Linked DNA regions of Coturnix japonica. The protein of the gene in region 1 interacts with the protein of each later gene in a pairwise test. Links are inferred from orthologs where the notes say so. Each region holds a gene or a part of one and is shown on either strand. Other genes may lie near its edges.

Region 1 (7,882 bases):
AGACTACTGAAAATAAATGTGTGTGTATATATATTAAAAAAAAAAAAAAAAAAAAAAACAATAAAAAAGATAGGGAATGGTAATTAGGATGTGTAGAAATTGTGGGATCTGAGCATGATGTAAATGGTATGGAATAAAGGGTGGATATTGTCTTAGTTTCAGCTGGGACAGAGTGTCTGGAATGCTGCTGTGTTTTGGTTCTAGCAAAAAAACAATGCTAATAACACACGGATGTTTCTAGTTGCTGCTAAGCAGTGCTGTACAGAGCCAAGGCTGTTCTCAGCCAAGGGCTCCCGGTGCTCAGCCACATGATGGTTAAACCACAACATGGGGGCGCCATATGGAGGTCCTGCAAGAGATACCACACTTGCCTCTCCCATCTATGAAGATAACCCAAAGCTGAGGCTGCTGTTCCCTGTGGAGAGCACTGTGCCACCCCTCTGAGCTTAGGGACCCTGAGGTTGAATTAATCTCTGTGGCGCAGCACTGGAAGGAAAGGGGCTATGGGAACATCACATGCTGCTGATACAGCCCTGAACAGGTCTCTGGCTTCTGCATGCAAACCACATTGAACTGTACTAAAGCACCTGCGCCAGGTCATAGTCCTTGGCTTGCCCTGCACATCATGCAGAAGAAATGCCAGGAGGACTGACATCTCTTACCCTGCAGGAGATGGATGCACACAGACACAAAGGCAAAAGCCACAGGAGAGGTCAAGAATGAAGAGAAAAGCAAGGCAGATGGAAGGCTGACAAGAAAAACAAAGCAAAACAGCTATGTGAAAAGAGATGGATGTCAGGCACTCAGAAGCAAAGCTTGTACTTGTGCACCAGTTTGTAATTTGGACTGGAAGCAGAAGTGAAGAACTAGACCCACATTACCACCCATTGCTCCACAATAGAGGCTCCCTTCAAAAGGCACTGGAGAAAACATCATCCTCTGTGCAGATCAGACTTGATGTTAAGACAATGAATGGTGGGAGCCAGAGAAGCAGATAATGGAACTGCATGAGCTGGTTACTGCCACGTGTGGATTTTTGACTTCTATTACCAAGCTTTCAAAAAGCAGTTAAGCATTACTGCACCTTGAAACCTGCCTGCATCACTGTGCAATGCATCTGTGCTGAGCATGGATCCTGCACGCTGCTTTTAGCACAGAACACCAAGGGGAGTGGGCAGCTGCAGAACCCTGTGAACATCACTCATGGGATGTGCATTGGGATGGCACACAGAGGTTGTGGTGGCCCAGGGATGGTCCTGCTTCCTGCCAGCTTCCTGGAAGCACAGGGCTGATTCCTGGAAAGTACAGTATGTGGCAGTGCTCTCCCCCTCCTTTCTGTCATTGTTCAATGGCTTCTCCTCCGTCTTTCAACCAGATGTGCTCTGCCAAGTGTTCAAGAGAGGCTGGGTGATTGGGTACGTCACCAGTGAGAGCAGAGCTCTGTGTGCACTGCGCATATGGCTGGCAGACACCCAGCACACCCATCTAATTATTAAATATTTATTGCACCTTTAATGGGTCAGTTACAACAGAAGAGTGCTCCCAAGGAGCAGGCTGCAAGGAACGGGAAAGCACCATTAAAGACTGTCAGGGCCAGATGAAATGCAGCGTGGTAATGCACTGCAGATAACCCGTCTCTCCTGCGATAAAACGTGGTGCAGCTGTTGCTGCAGGCAGTTCTTCCAGCAGCTTCCTCCCTTTGGCAGCTGTCTGCACCATTGCTTAATGCCGGACGTGCCCAGCCCTCTGTGACATGGCCAGGCTTGGATCTGCTGTGAAACTGGCCCTTCTGCTGCACTGTGTGATTCTCACTGTATCCTCTGGTCACAAAGTCCAGCGCCACTTAGACACTGTATAATGCCTTGGGAGAACTGCTGGCTGACGGGCCAGGACTGGAGGGTTGTATTAATGGGGTTACATGGCAGATTGTCACCAGTGGGGTCCTGCATTGGCTCCATTTAAGGTCCAGTCTCTTCAGTGGGTTATCGGGGAGCTGAGTGCACACTGATTGTCCTCTGATGGTGCTGAACTAGGGGAAGCCGTTGGTTCCCATGCAGGAACTGGATGATCTTTGGGGTCTCTTACAAGCCAAGGGGGCTGGGAATAAAAGGAAAAGGAAGATATGGAGCATGGGCAGACAGGGGACAGACACACGGACATGGGGACAGGCAGACACGTGGCACGGCCAGCACACAGCCCGTGTCGCAGCACATGGGTGCTGGAGGCAGAAAAAAAACCCAGTTTTAAAACGATTTTAAAACAGAATCGAGAAATAAAACAGGAGGAGTCCCCCCATACGGGTTCCCACCCCCTCCCCTCCTCCAGGGCAGGATCCTGCCCGCCACTTCCTGCTCGGCGTTACGCAGCACTTTTTCTTACAGTCACACGGTTGGTTTTTTTTTTCTTTCTTTTTTTTTTTTTTTTTTTTTTTTATTTCTTTTTTTCCCCCTATTTTCCCTCCTCTCCCCCCTCTCGCTGCTCCCCCCAACCCCCGCCCTGTGAAAGAACTATAACGGCCGCTCCCCTTCCCGCCTCGTGACGTCACCCGCGCCATGGGCGGGAAGGGGCGTGGCCCGGCGATGGGCTGAGCGCTCAGTGCGCATGCGCGATGCAGCGGTGGCTATATAAGGGCAGGCCCGGGGCGGCGGCGGCAGAGCGTTGGTTTGGCGTTGCGGAGTGAGGACCGGTATAGACACAGCCGAGAGCGCAGCGGCGTGCGGGACGCGCGTGCGCGGGGACGAGCCCGTTGTCCGCCTTGTGACCGTACAGCACAGTGAGAGCCGCCATGGTGAAGAGCGTGGGCAGCCTGGTGAGTGCATGGGGCGGCACGGTGGGGTGTGGGTGAGGGGGGCTTGGTGTCGGCGCCGGGCCTTGGGCCGCGCTCCTTTGTGTGCGCTGAGCCTGAGGCCGCTCCCCAATGGCGGCTGCGCTCCGGCCGCAGGGGGCACTGCGGGAGCGGGTTAAACTGCAACACGTCGCCCTGACCCTTGGCTGTCAGCTGATGGCCGCGATCACAGAATGACCCGGGTTGGGAGGGACCTCAAGGATCATGTAGTTCCAACCCCCCTGCCTGGCAGGGCCACCAAACATACGCCTTTACTAGATCAGGTTGCCGGATCAGCACGGCCCAAGGGCGGCTCGGTGGGTGTCAGACATCGTGCTTATAGCTGGGGTCTTGTATTAAGGCTGTCCCAGCTATGCTGAGGGCGGTGGATTTCTTACGGCGTTGGTTGGTGGCCTCCATTTTGGGTTGCTGGGAATCCCTGCTGCATTGAACCTCTCCTTGCCACCTGTTTTCTCGCAGCCGGCCCTTGGAAACTGAAATCTGCTAACATAATGCTGCCTGCTGCGCCCAGCAAAGTGAGGCCGAGGCCTCAGGGAGGCACCAGATGGGTATTTGAAAAGTGTTTATGGGCTTTTCCCCTCCAGAGGACTAAGGAAAATATTGCTGAAAAAGCTGTGAGATCCTCTAACAGCTGTAGCCACGTGGACTAACAGGGGGAGGTGTCCATTCTGATAATGGAGATATTTCTGTATGAATCTTATTAATCCATACTTACTGCAGAAAGACTAGAAGTCAGAAAGGTCAGCCAGTTTTCCTGCTGTATTCCTTACTTCAGGGATATTAATGTTTTCTGAGGAAAAAATACCAACACTTACCCCTTGCTGGGTATCTCAGGGGTAACACCGTTGGACCTCGTGTCTCTTCTCAGGCTGCCTGTAGCAATTTTAGCTAATTCTAGGGATGACTCACAGGGTAACGCCTGGCTGCAGCTGGAGAGCAGTGCTCAGATCTCCAGTGGTGTATGGGTTGTGATCTGCAGGAAGTGCCATGTCCTCCCACTTTGCCCTTGTTCTGTGCAATATTGCCCTGAGATGTGTGGTCATATGATCAGCGCGTCCCAGGGATGGCCTTCCTCATGCAGGGTACAGCAATCAGTCATTTGGACTGAGGAAAATAGTCCAATTGGTGGGTGCAGGAGGTAGAATTAATATTAATAAGGCTGTTACAGCACTAAGTTGTGAGAATATATGCCAGAAATCAGGGATTTGGAGGTGGGAGTGAGTGAGGCTCTATTTAACAGCCTTATGGTTTTAAGTAACCACTGGGAGCAGATAGCATGGACTACTGTGTATGTGAACGCTGAACTTTGCTGGAGGCAGTGTTGTGCTTTAGAGACTGGGATGCAGGAATACACCCCACATTAGCACAGTGGTGGAGAAGAAGAGAGAGAGGAAGAACTTCTTGCTGCCACCCTTGCCTGTGTGTTGGATCAGCATCCTCTGCTTGCTCTGCCTGAGATACTTGTTTGTTTTTTAGCATGCAAATATTTCTTTCCTTCAGTGCCTTACACTTCTGTTGAAACATTTGCTCTTTGAAAACAGCGGCACATAAGGAGCTCTGAAATGCAAAGCGTGATGTCCAGAAATGTCTCTTGTAACAAAGTGCAACAGAGATATCTCTGTTAACCTTAAATGTTAGTTGTTACTGGCATAGACTGTGTAGCTTTGCATTGAGTACTGGAGTTACACCCCAATTTACTTGGCATAATAAAATATTTATATGATGAAGCTGTTGCTCTAGGAAACATGCTGTAGGGTAAACCACGCAACATCTTGATTCTAACCATTGCTTGGGAAAGGTATCAGACCATGAAACTGTGGAAGTTTGTCCTCAGATTCTGAGGAATCCTAGAAGAAAATGGACGACATCCTATTAAATTGGAGATTAGAACTGAATGCTAAGGACCGTCAGGATCACGTTAGAAGTGTAACATTACTCAGTTTAGCTTACGGTCTCAGTTCATGCTGAGTTCTACATAAACTTCCACAGTTCAGTGACTGAGCATTGTGATGTTTCATAATTGATACTCATAATTCATCAGAAGACAGTGGGGGATGCAGTGCTGATGGAGCTAAGGGAAAGCTGACTTGGGGGTTAGTCTTGAACCTTTTGCAAATGAGGGGGGAAATCCTTAATGTTTTGATTTCTTTTTTCTTTACAGTCCGAATTTGAGGCAGAACTGAAAGCTGCTGGTGAGAAGCTTATAGTAGTTGATTTCTCTGCCACATGGTGTGGACCATGCAAAATGATCAAGCCATTTTTCCATGTAAGTAGCTTTTGTCTTTCACAGTAACTTTAAGTATATAGAAATACTTCTGTGCAACTTCTAATATGGTGGAAACCTTCTTTGTCTATGGTGTGTTTTCCTGAAGGAGGAATCTTAGAAGGATATGATAGGTAACTATTGAATAAAGCACTTGGATACACAGCGGGGAACTAACACACTGTAGCGTTTTGTCTGTCCTGGTGTGCTGATGCATCAGTCTGTAGGGACCTAGCTGGTGCATTTCCACAAGAACTGGCAACAGTGGAGTTGAAATAATGTATATATGCTGGCTCTGATTATTTAAACTGCGTTCAGTTAAGCTGTAGCATCTTTATGTGTTGAGGGGGAAGCCATAAGGGAAGGAAAGGCCTTTCCCTTATGCTTAGGTGCTTCAGCAGACTCTTCCAGGGGATGGAGCTGGAAATTAATTTCTGGTCAGTAAAGCAGCTGCTGTAAGGTAACATGTTAAGTCTGACAGCACCAGTTTCTATGAATGCATCTTTTTGAGAACTGGCTTTCCTGGACCTGTAACTACATAATTTCATTTTTCATTCTAGAGTCTGTCTGACAAGTTTGGTGATGTGGTGTTCATTGAAATCGATGTGGATGATGCCCAGGTAAGGTCCAAAGGGATAGTAGGTTTGGAGAACCACAGAAGTGGCAATGAGTGTCCTTGGATTTATTGAAACAAAATGAGATGGGCACCACCAACTAGGCAGAAAAGAATGAATGTTTAGAGTACATGAGAAGAATGAACTGCTTTAGTTATCTGCACTGTCTTAACCCCTATGGCACACATGAGATAACTTGGGAACACTGGTGTTCTGCCCTTGAGACTTCCTCCCAAAGCCTTAATCTGTTTTGATGCAATCTCCCCTAAAACTAATAGCTTACACAAGTACAAGACTGTCTGGTCTCACCACTGCCCTTGGCACTGTTTCCTCTTTCATGTGTTGAACCATGTGTAATAAGATGTCTGCTCTATGGCAGTTTCAGTAGTGTAGAATGAGTACTTAAACAATTTCAGGCTGAAACAGCAACATTGCTGTAGTGTTCTTGAGTACTCTCCAAACACAGTGTGGATGCAGTAAACACGTGCTCTTATTGTATGAATTAGATTCTGAAGGGAGGATCTTTTAGGTTTGTTTCAGAAAGATGCTAATATTGCACTGCCTTTGCAGTGCTGGACTAGAAAAGATGTTTTTCTTCTTTTTGAACAGTGATGACTTTGTCCAACTTCCTTATCAAAAGGAAACCAGTGGGTTCTAAATTCTGGTGTCCTTCAGACATGCACAGCTGAAGACTGTTTTCTTTCTCTTCCAGGATGTTGCTACACACTGTGACGTGAAGTGCATGCCAACATTCCAGTTCTACAAGAACGGAAAGAAGGTAGGCTTCTTTTTTTATGGAACTTATTTTCCTGGAAGAGGCAGGCTAGGCCACATAGTCTGCTTTCTCTTAATAATGTATCTGGGTCACAACTGGCACTGGGACACTTCTAAGAGCAATTAAATTAATCTTAGTGCTACAGCAAATACAGCATAGACCAGATGCAACTGATGAAGCAAACTCTATTAATTAGACCTAGTGAACTAAGTCTTGCAGGTCAGTCTTATGGGCAGATCTTCATGATGAATTAGTGAGGCTAAATGTGCAAGACTGCCCTAATGCTCTGCTTTTGCTGATCTGTTAGCATTCATTCTCTGTACACAGTTCACATTCAAGCAGGGACGTGTCTATATGTGTAGAATCCCTCCTGACATCAGTTAATAATCTGAATATACTCCCATCTGAAACCACTACTTGAGTGTTTTCACACAGACTGTGAAACCTGTGGAGGGACCCCATGTAGGTTGCAGGACTGAACAGAGCCCCTTTGCATTATATGCTGTGAGCTGGATAGATGGGATACAGAGCAGGTGCAGGGACAGGCTGCTCCAAGCAGTTCTATCAGAGCTTGATAGGACAAGGTGCACAGCAACACAAAGTGGCTTTCAGCTGCTACTGCCAGGAGGTGGCCTCCAAAATCCTTCTGAGCTGCAATTATGACTTTTACACACCACTGATACAGGATTAATTGATTTTTCTCTTTTTTTGTGTGTGTCATTTTGGGCCTGAAGAAATCTTAGAGGTTACAGAGTTAAATAAACCCATATTTCTGTGTGTTATGCAACCAGATGTTACGTGGCATTGAGTGCAGCCCTTCTGAAAATTGTTCTTTTTGCAGGTGCAGGAATTCTCTGGGGCCAATAAAGAGAAGCTGGAAGAGACCATTAAAAGTCTAGTCTAATCTCCAGCCATGGAGACATTGGAGTATGGTGGGATCGGCTAACTTATAGCCCATAACTTTTCTACTTCAAAAAAAAAAAAAAAATATCCAACCATTTAACCTATCTATCTTGATGGAAACTATCCTCTGATCAATGTAAATGAGTACAATAAAATGTAAATTCTTCACCTTTGGTTACTGTCTCGTGTTTGAATAAAAACATGCGCAAGTTGTTAATGTCTCTGCAATGCTGCGTTTTGCTGTGTTAAAGGAATGCTGTCTGGATGCAAAGACTCTTGTCAAATGCAAGAATCTAATAACAGGGTATCACTGAGAATGGAAAATTAAGTGTTGGAAAAGACAGCAGTGATAATTGCTGTAGCAAGGTGCCAGACTTCTTTCCTGGTAGCTGAGGAGAAGCCATTGGGAATTCTGGATGTAAGCTCTGCTTATGCAGTGAGGGCACGCAATATGTTTTCTGTACTCTTAACAGCAGTGCTGC
Region 2 (8,009 bases), about 41 Mb from region 1:
CAGGAAAGGACACTACAGGTCTGAATTGCCTCACACTGAAAAGAAATAAATCTGTGCAGAATGAAATGAAGCAGTGGTGCTCAGAAATGCCCTTAAATCTGATACTGCAGATGTGAAATAGGACAGCCTTTGTAGAAACACCTTTTTCCAGAAACAGGCCCTTCTTTTTGCAATAATCCGGACCATAAGGTGAAGCTACCAAGTTTTCTCTGCTACCAGAAGAGGACGTTTTACCCTTATTGGAGCTTCTGCTCGATGGGAGATGCCAGTTGTGTGAGAGACCTGCTCAGATGACAAATGCATCCAGGACAGTGGGAGGGTACCAGAGGCTTCTTTGTCTCTCTTGAGTTTTAGGCTGGGAAGTGTCTGGACAGACTTCCAAATTTTCTCACTCCAAATCCAGAACCCTTCCAAATAATCAGGTTTTCCTCACAATCCATCCACACCCACAAAAACTTTAAGTAGACATGTTCCTTGTTAAAGAGAAGGTCCTGAGGTGACCTGTTCTTGACACAGGCAACAGTTCCTCTGCCGAGAGATTGCACTTTGAGGGAGACAGAGTACACAAAATACCTCATATTGATGCAGTGAATATTGACTTATCATGAAACAAATAATCCACATATACATGGATGTGCGTTAATAGCAGTTACACAAGGTTACACTTGGGGATTATTCTTCCTCCTACTCAGTGTTTTACAGCAATTTCCTAAGAGATCAGCCACTTAATATTTTGGGGTCTGCTGTAGATACAGCTCTACTAGAGATAGGACAAAACCACACATTTTACACAAACCGAGAGCTATATCTGAACTCTCCAAACGTTTGAGATGTCAACGTATGCGGGTGTTTCAAAAAGCTTTATTATTCTAAGTTCAGGGCCAGCTGTAGAGAATGGATTCACATCCAAACACATATATTAAAATGTATACACTTCTTGGTAGAAAGAAGTTTCAGAATCCGACAGGCTGAGAACAACACTCTTTTTGTGTGCTGCCTGACAATTCATTTACAGATCAACCCTATTGTTTTTTTGGTAATTTAAATGTGATAGTTGGCAAAGGAGAAAAAGGTGGGGAAGTTCAAGAGGGAGGGACACACTGAAAAAGAAGAGAGCATTTCTGTTTGTACAATATATCCCTGACATGTCATTACACACAAACCCAAAATTTAGCTTTTGAAAAAGAAAGGGGGGAAAGAAAAACAACAAAACAAAACAATAAAAGAAACAGCAGCTGTTTCTATGTGATGTCAGAGAACAGGTGTGATACAAATCTCCATACCAGCGCAATCATATTGATCTCCCGATGATGCACGCATGAAGCACATGTGCAAACGTTATTGACCCATCCGGCATCTCATTTCCAGGAATACGGCCTGAAAATGCCTCTCTAATAGTTGAAAACATTTTCAGGATAAACACCATATGGGCCAATTTTGGGGGGAGCCGGGGGGGGGGGAGGGGAGGGAAAGAGAAAGAAAAAAGAGAAAGAAAAATACATCATAAAGTTGGAGAGGGGAGCCAAAAAATGAAAAAGAAAAAAAAAAAAAAAGAAGAGAAAAACAGGAGAAAGGTGAGCCTATGTGAAAGGTGAGCTCGGGGCGAGCGGCAGGCTCAGATCTCAGCGCAGTGCCGCCCGCACGGTGCCCAGGGCCGGATCGCGGCGCTGCGCTGCTGCCGCCGGGCGCTACGCGGGGCTCTGTCCGTCCGCTCCACGAGAAGCGGCGGCCTCGGAGGGCTCCCTCGCGGCTCCGGAGTGCTGCGATGTCAATTGTTAATGCCATCTGCCATTAGAGGGCACTACGCAACCCTGCATTCAGCGCTGCGTGCGCGGAGGGAGAGGCAGGGACAGTGAGGGAGCGGCACCAATTCGGGAGAAAGATAGATTTAAAAGGATGCGGTGCTCCCGAAGTGCTGAAAATGCCTGGGCGCCAGGCGGGACAGTGGTCGTAATGATAACAAACAACAGAAAAAGAAAAAAAAAAGAAAGAAAGAAAATAAGACAGAAGAGTAAAAAAAGAAGAAATAGGAAAAAATGAAGGATTAAAAAAAGAGAGAAAGAGAGAGAGAGAGAGAGAAATGCGACGAGGTCAATCATTTACCAGTCTGCCGCTTAATGCGTGTGACTGCAGGTGGCACCGGGGACATTGTGATTCATGCCCACTTTCAAAGCGGGACCCGGGCCCGGGCTGAGGCACCCAAACAACTGTCTTCTAATATTAGCACGGCTGTATTTCTGGATCTATTATAGTCTGTCCAGACAGATCCCATTGTAATGGGATCTTTTATTAAAAGATTAGCACTATCTCCTGCAGTTGGTGGAAAAAAATCTGTTATCGCTGAGTTATTTGCAGTTGTGGGGAGGGGGCGGGCGGCGGAGGCGGCGCGGAGGAGGGCTCGGGGAGGGCCGGGGGAGGCGCGGGCGGCCGCGCGCACCGGGCCCTGACCCGGCACTGTCCGGGCATTCCTGTCTGCATACTTCGCAGTCTGTTGTGCTTTGGTGGCTCAGAAAAGCGAAAGAATCGAAATTAAAAAGGCAGCTTTTGAATAAACAATACCATTTTCCGTTAAGTAATCGTTTTGTATAAAAGGAAATATCGCCTACTCAGTTTCATTCAGCGGTGCCAAAAATGTTATAAATGAGCGACCGCCAACTTTTCTAAGAGGAGAATAATGCCAGACTGTGCTTAATAAACTAGTGCCCTAGAAGTTCATTATCGATGTTGCAATCTTTTCTGATTCTGAAAGGAGACCGCCTACGTCGCCCCCATTCCCGTCTCGTCCTCCCAGGCTCCCAGTGAAAAAGGCCGTCACTTGGGCAGAGCCCTACGTACTAAACTTTTATTTGGTTTCTTTCCATTTATTTATTTATTTGTTTGTTTGGTGCTCGGCTGATCGCTCTCTCCCTCTCGGGTTTCTGGGGGCCGAGCCCCGGCCGCGACACCGCCGGCCGCCTCCCCGCCCGCGGCGGCCCCGCTCCGCTCCATTCCGTTCCGCTCCGCGCGGGGATGGCAGCCGCGGAGCCGCCGCGCGGGGAGAACCCCGGCCGGGAGCTGCTCCCGAGCCGCGCCGCTCCCAGCTGCGCCCCCCGCGCCGGGACCGCGCTCTGCGCCCGCGGAGGCTGCGCGATCTCCGGCCGCACCGCACCGTGCTGAGCCGAGCCGAGCCGCCGCCGCGCGGGGCTGCGCGGGTGCGCGCCCGGGGGAGCGCGCCCGCGTGTGTGCGTGCACCTCCAGCAGATAATTGGAGAGGGTTTCCAGAAGGTGGAAAATGTCACCTGATTCACACTGAACTTTTTAAATCTCCCCACCCCCGAGCAGGCACACACACACATTAGGAGACCGCCCACCGCAGACAGCTAAGACCCCCGTATAGATTTAAAGAGAGACTGCATTCAGAGCCTGACGTTCATTCAATAGAGCGATCATAAGCAGGCTGGCTGGTGCTCGCTCCGTCTCTCTACTCCCCTTCACGCTGTTCCTGTGTCTCTCTCACTCCCTGCTACGCTGAGGATGTTAAATCAGAGGATCCACCCGGGCATGCTCGTACTCCTGATGTTTCTCTACCACTTCATGGAAGATCACACAGCGCTGGGTAAGACCACAGCGTTTATTCGGAAGTGTGTTTTATTATTAGTGTTGTTACTATTACTCTTATTTTCCGTCTTTCGGGCGCTGCTTACTTCGCTGCGATGTTTGTTACACGCCTCTCTCCAAGGTCCGAACGGACAGAAGTTAGCAGCGGGCGCGGGACTGCTCGGGACAGGGCGCGGAGATGTCACGTAGGTTCCCCTTCGGTTCGGACCTTCCCTGCTCCGCATGGGCACGGAGGGCACGGGGGGATGTTTCTTGGCACTCCTCGTGATTATGCAGCGTGAATGAGGAGCAGCATCGCGGGGAACTTTCCTGCGCTCATGTCCCGAGCGAGTGCTCAAAGTTTGTTGGTAATTCTACTCAGATTTTTATCTCGCCTTCTGACAGAAGCCCCGGGCGCACAGCTGACACTTTCAGAAGCGGTGGTGGTCACTTTCCGGGCATTCCCTCAATATTGGGATTTCCTTCCCTCCCCCCACCCCCTTTGTGTGTGTGTGAATAAGTGTTGTAAATTCTCCTGCTATGAGGAGTGTGCCTAAATAAGTTTGCTTACTTAATTATTCTTTCCCATGCGAACAAAACGATCCTGAACCTGATACTGACAACTCTTAAGAGCCCTCTTTCGACACTAGGAAACAGTGATTTGCAGTTTGGGGTGTTTTTGTTTTTTTTCCACCTGATACTGATTGCGTCCCAACCTGCATGTCTGGGTTTTCATTTTTTTTTCCCATTTCTTCTCCCCCTCCCGAGTTAGAGCAATAGTTAATGTAGGCAACTGTAAGACGCAAAACTCTTTTTTCTTTCTTTTTTTTTTTTTCTTTTTTCTTCTTTTTTCTTTTCTGCAAGGGCGTTGTTTGTTCCATGTTTTGTAGCCGGGAGGGGTGAGGGGAGGATGTTCCTCGCGCCCAGCGGCGCCCCGGCGGGCCGAGCCCGGCCCTGGTGCGGTGCGCTCCGTTGGAGGAAGGAGCAGGATCGAGCCTTGGCTGGGTGGGCACCATAATCAATTGGTATCGAGTCGCTGGTGGAGTCACACTGGTTATGCACGAGAGGCTCATCCCAACCCAAACTCTCCAGCTAAAACAGGGGGAGTTGCTTGGACTCATGTTCTTGGCTTGACTCCACGAATAACAGGGATACCAGTGGGGGAAGGAAAAAAAAAAAAAAAAAAGGAAAAAAAAAACCCACTGTCCGGTTTGAGGACAGCGTGCTGCGTGCTTTCCTCTGAAACGCTCGCGGGGGAGACAGCACCTCCTACTTTTCCAGTGTGATCGATTCTGAAGAACTCCGCAGGGAGCTCTATCGGGGTGCCCTCCTGTTTCGTGTACTTTGCTGACTTTTTTTCTTGTCTTTGTTGTCGGAGCTCCGCTGAGTTGTTTTAGCGAAGGGAAGACGTTTGTTAATAGAAGAAGCGAAATGTGGAGATTTCGAAAGAGTTCGCTCACAGCGAATGTTCCCAGTCGGTGCGGATTGCAAAACGTGCTGGGGCTGGGGTGCGTGCGGCACTAACACAATGCTGCCGGGCGGCCGCGTCGGAGAGGGCAGGGGGAGGAGGGAGGAACTGCAAGCGCGATTTTCTTTTTATTCCCTTTTAAATGCACATCCTTTTCAAGCCTCTGTCACGTGCCGGCAGTGCTCCTTCTGCTCTACATATGGAGTAAAGACCTGGGAAACTGCTTCGTGCTGTTTTGATCCGGTCTTTTTCTTTCTGATTTATTTATTGTTATCTCACCCAAGCGGACCGGGCCGGATGCGGGTTGTGGAACGGGACAAATAATGCCAGCAGTCCAGTAAAAGTCAGTGCGAAGCGCGCGCGGTGCCCGTGCCGCTGGTCCCGGCACTGACCCGGCCCGGTGCGCCCCTGTCCCCCGCAGCTGGGAACTGCTGGCTCCGGCAGGCACGGAACGGCCGCTGCCAGGTCCTCTACAAGACCGACCTCAGCAAAGAGGAGTGCTGCAAGAGCGGCCGCCTGACGACTTCGTGGACGGAGGAGGACGTCAACGACAACACGCTCTTTAAGTGGATGATTTTTAATGGGGGAGCCCCTAACTGCATCCCGTGCAAAGGTGAGGGGGCCGGGAGTCGCGGGTGGCTCGGGCTTGGGGTGGCCTGATGGGGTGGCCAGATGAGGGCCTGGAGACGGCAGTGCTGTAATCGTGCTGCCCACCGCCGAGGGCTGAGGGCCATCGCAAAGCAGCGCCGGGGTAGGGGGACTGCTGCTCCTCATCCGCACAGGTCAGTGGGAGATGGGGAGGGGGCTCTTTGCACGTGGCTCTCCTGGCTCCAGGATTTCCTTCCAGGTCTGTTTCCTGCATGGTAGCAGTGTGAGGGGTGCTGTCATTTTATGCCCGGGGGTCTCCATGTCTTTTTTGCTTTGGGCGCTTTTGACACAAGTCTCTTCTGCATGTTTGGTAATAAAGTTATGCCTCTTTCCTTCCTTCAGAAACATGTGAGAACGTGGACTGTGGACCCGGGAAGAAATGTAAAATGAACAAGAAGAACAAACCTCGGTGTGTTTGTGCTCCAGATTGCTCTAATATCACCTGGAAGGGCCCCGTGTGTGGCTTAGATGGGAAAACCTACAGGAACGAGTGTGCCCTTCTCAAAGCCAGATGTAAAGAACAGCCCGAACTTGAAGTCCAGTATCAGGGCAAGTGCAAAAGTAGGTTTGCAAATCTCTTCCAATTTCCATCAAATGGCATAGGATGTGTGTGTGAGTGTAAAGAGGAGGAGCTGCATGCTTCTCCACAGTAACCAGAGTGATGTTCCAACCATGCTCATAGTCTAGGATATAGCTGGATTGATTGAGAGTTCCTCACAGTTTAGCAGCAGTTGTGTTCCTCATGCTACCCTGAGATGGAAAGGTCTCCAGCAGCCCTTAAATGAGTACCAATGCTGAAGGCTTTTGTCCGATTGTTTGTATCATTCTGTCACCAATTCACTCCTCACTGGGGCGCCCACATATTCTATTAATCATTTTTTGTTTCCATCTTTATTTCAGAGACCTGTAGGGATGTTTTATGCCCAGGCAGCTCCACATGTGTGGTGGATCAAACCAATAACGCCTACTGTGTGACATGTAATCGAATTTGCCCTGAGCCTACCTCCCCTGAACAGTATCTCTGTGGGAATGATGGCATAACTTATGCCAGTGCCTGCCACCTGAGAAAAGCGACCTGCCTGCTGGGCAGATCCATTGGATTAGCCTACGAGGGAAAATGCATCAGTAGGTATCTTGGCCAGAGGGATAAGTGCAGGGGGGAGCTTGCAAACTCATCTGTTTTATCATGTTATGTGGAAGTGGGTGGGTGGGTGAATGGATGGATGGATGGGTGGATGGATTGTTTGAAGGGGGAGGGAAGTGAGGGAAGGAGGGAGTAAGTTTGTGCTTTGGAGAAGGTAAGACTCCCAGCAGCCTTGGTTTGTTTTCCTCTCCATAAGAAACGAGAGTCAGAGTGAGCTTTGCTCCAGGAAAAACAAAACCAACAAAAAAACTGCAAAAGGGGCATAGAGGGGTTGATCCTGCTCCTCTTGCCATGACTGTGGGTGCTGACATTTGTGTCCAAGAGAGAAGTATCCACCATTAGGCCGATAATTACATGGCTACGGCATAACAAGGTCTTGATATTCAGTGGATCTGAATTCCTGGAAACAATTGTCTTCAAGTGGTCTTGGCAAAGCTTGCATTAATTTAATTGGAAACATCTGATTACTTTTTACTCTTTAAAAATATTGCAGAGTTTGGGGACAGCTATCGGGTGAAGATAGTAAAATAACCTCTGTGCATCCTGACATTTTGCACTGTGATTTTGAGAAAGAGGAGATAGTGAAATATGTTGCAAGGAAGCAACTTTAGGGCAACCTCTGCCCTTCCAAATTGCTGCTGAGATGCTGGAGAATCTCAGGCTGCTTTTGGTTGGCACAGCTTGAGGTGAATTCCCTTAACAATCCTGTAGACAGCAGCTTTATGTGGGTTAGTTTAAAAGTAATTGATTTAGAAATGCTGAATGCGTTGACAAATTCTCCACTTATCACTAATTTGGTGAGCTGAATGTCCACTGACAGGAAATGGAGCAGAAAGGTCATGTGCAATAGGCAAATGTAATTCCATACTGCTAGGGCCAAGGTCCACTGGCACACCTGTCCTTTCTCCCTACTGTACAGATAGGCAGTGGTATCCAAGGGTCTACTTGATTAAGACCATCAAGAATCATCCCAGCTACTGCATTTTAGCTTTGACTATTCATAGTTCATTGGGGAAAATTGAGTTTGGGGCTGTTAGGGGTTGCTTTTTTTTGTTTCCTTTGTCTGTTCACTTACCTCTAGTATTCCGTGTGTATTTTTAGAAGCGAAGTCCTGTGAAGATATTCAATGCAGTGCTGGGAAGAAATGCTTGTGGGATTTTAAGGTTGGCAGAG

The links.
Region 2: the proteins of TXN (region 1) and FST interact in binary tests that used the Homo sapiens proteins (3 or more experiments, as listed by UniProt). The link is inferred for Coturnix japonica from reciprocal best matches to the Homo sapiens genes TXN and FST.

The regions. Positions count from the first base shown.
Region 1 is NC_029547.1:59,050,073-59,057,954, reverse strand, and holds TXN (thioredoxin), read left to right. Parts: upstream 1-2,584; 5' UTR 2,585-2,785; coding exon 2,786-2,809; intron 2,810-5,006; coding exon 5,007-5,111; intron 5,112-5,668; coding exon 5,669-5,728; intron 5,729-6,434; coding exon 6,435-6,500; intron 6,501-7,338; coding exon 7,339-7,401; 3' UTR 7,402-7,575; downstream 7,576-7,882. UniProt on the Homo sapiens protein: Participates in various redox reactions through the reversible oxidation of its active center dithiol to a disulfide and catalyzes dithiol-disulfide exchange reactions.
Region 2 is NC_029547.1:17,652,092-17,660,100, forward strand, and holds the start of FST (follistatin precursor), read left to right. Parts: upstream 1-3,513; coding exon 3,514-3,595; intron 3,596-5,465; coding exon 5,466-5,657; intron 5,658-6,034; coding exon 6,035-6,253; intron 6,254-6,592; coding exon 6,593-6,817; intron 6,818-7,937; coding exon 7,938-8,009. UniProt on the Homo sapiens protein: Multifunctional regulatory protein whose primary function is to antagonize members of the transforming growth factor beta (TGF-beta) superfamily including activin, myostatin, GDF11 or bone morphogenetic proteins (BMPs).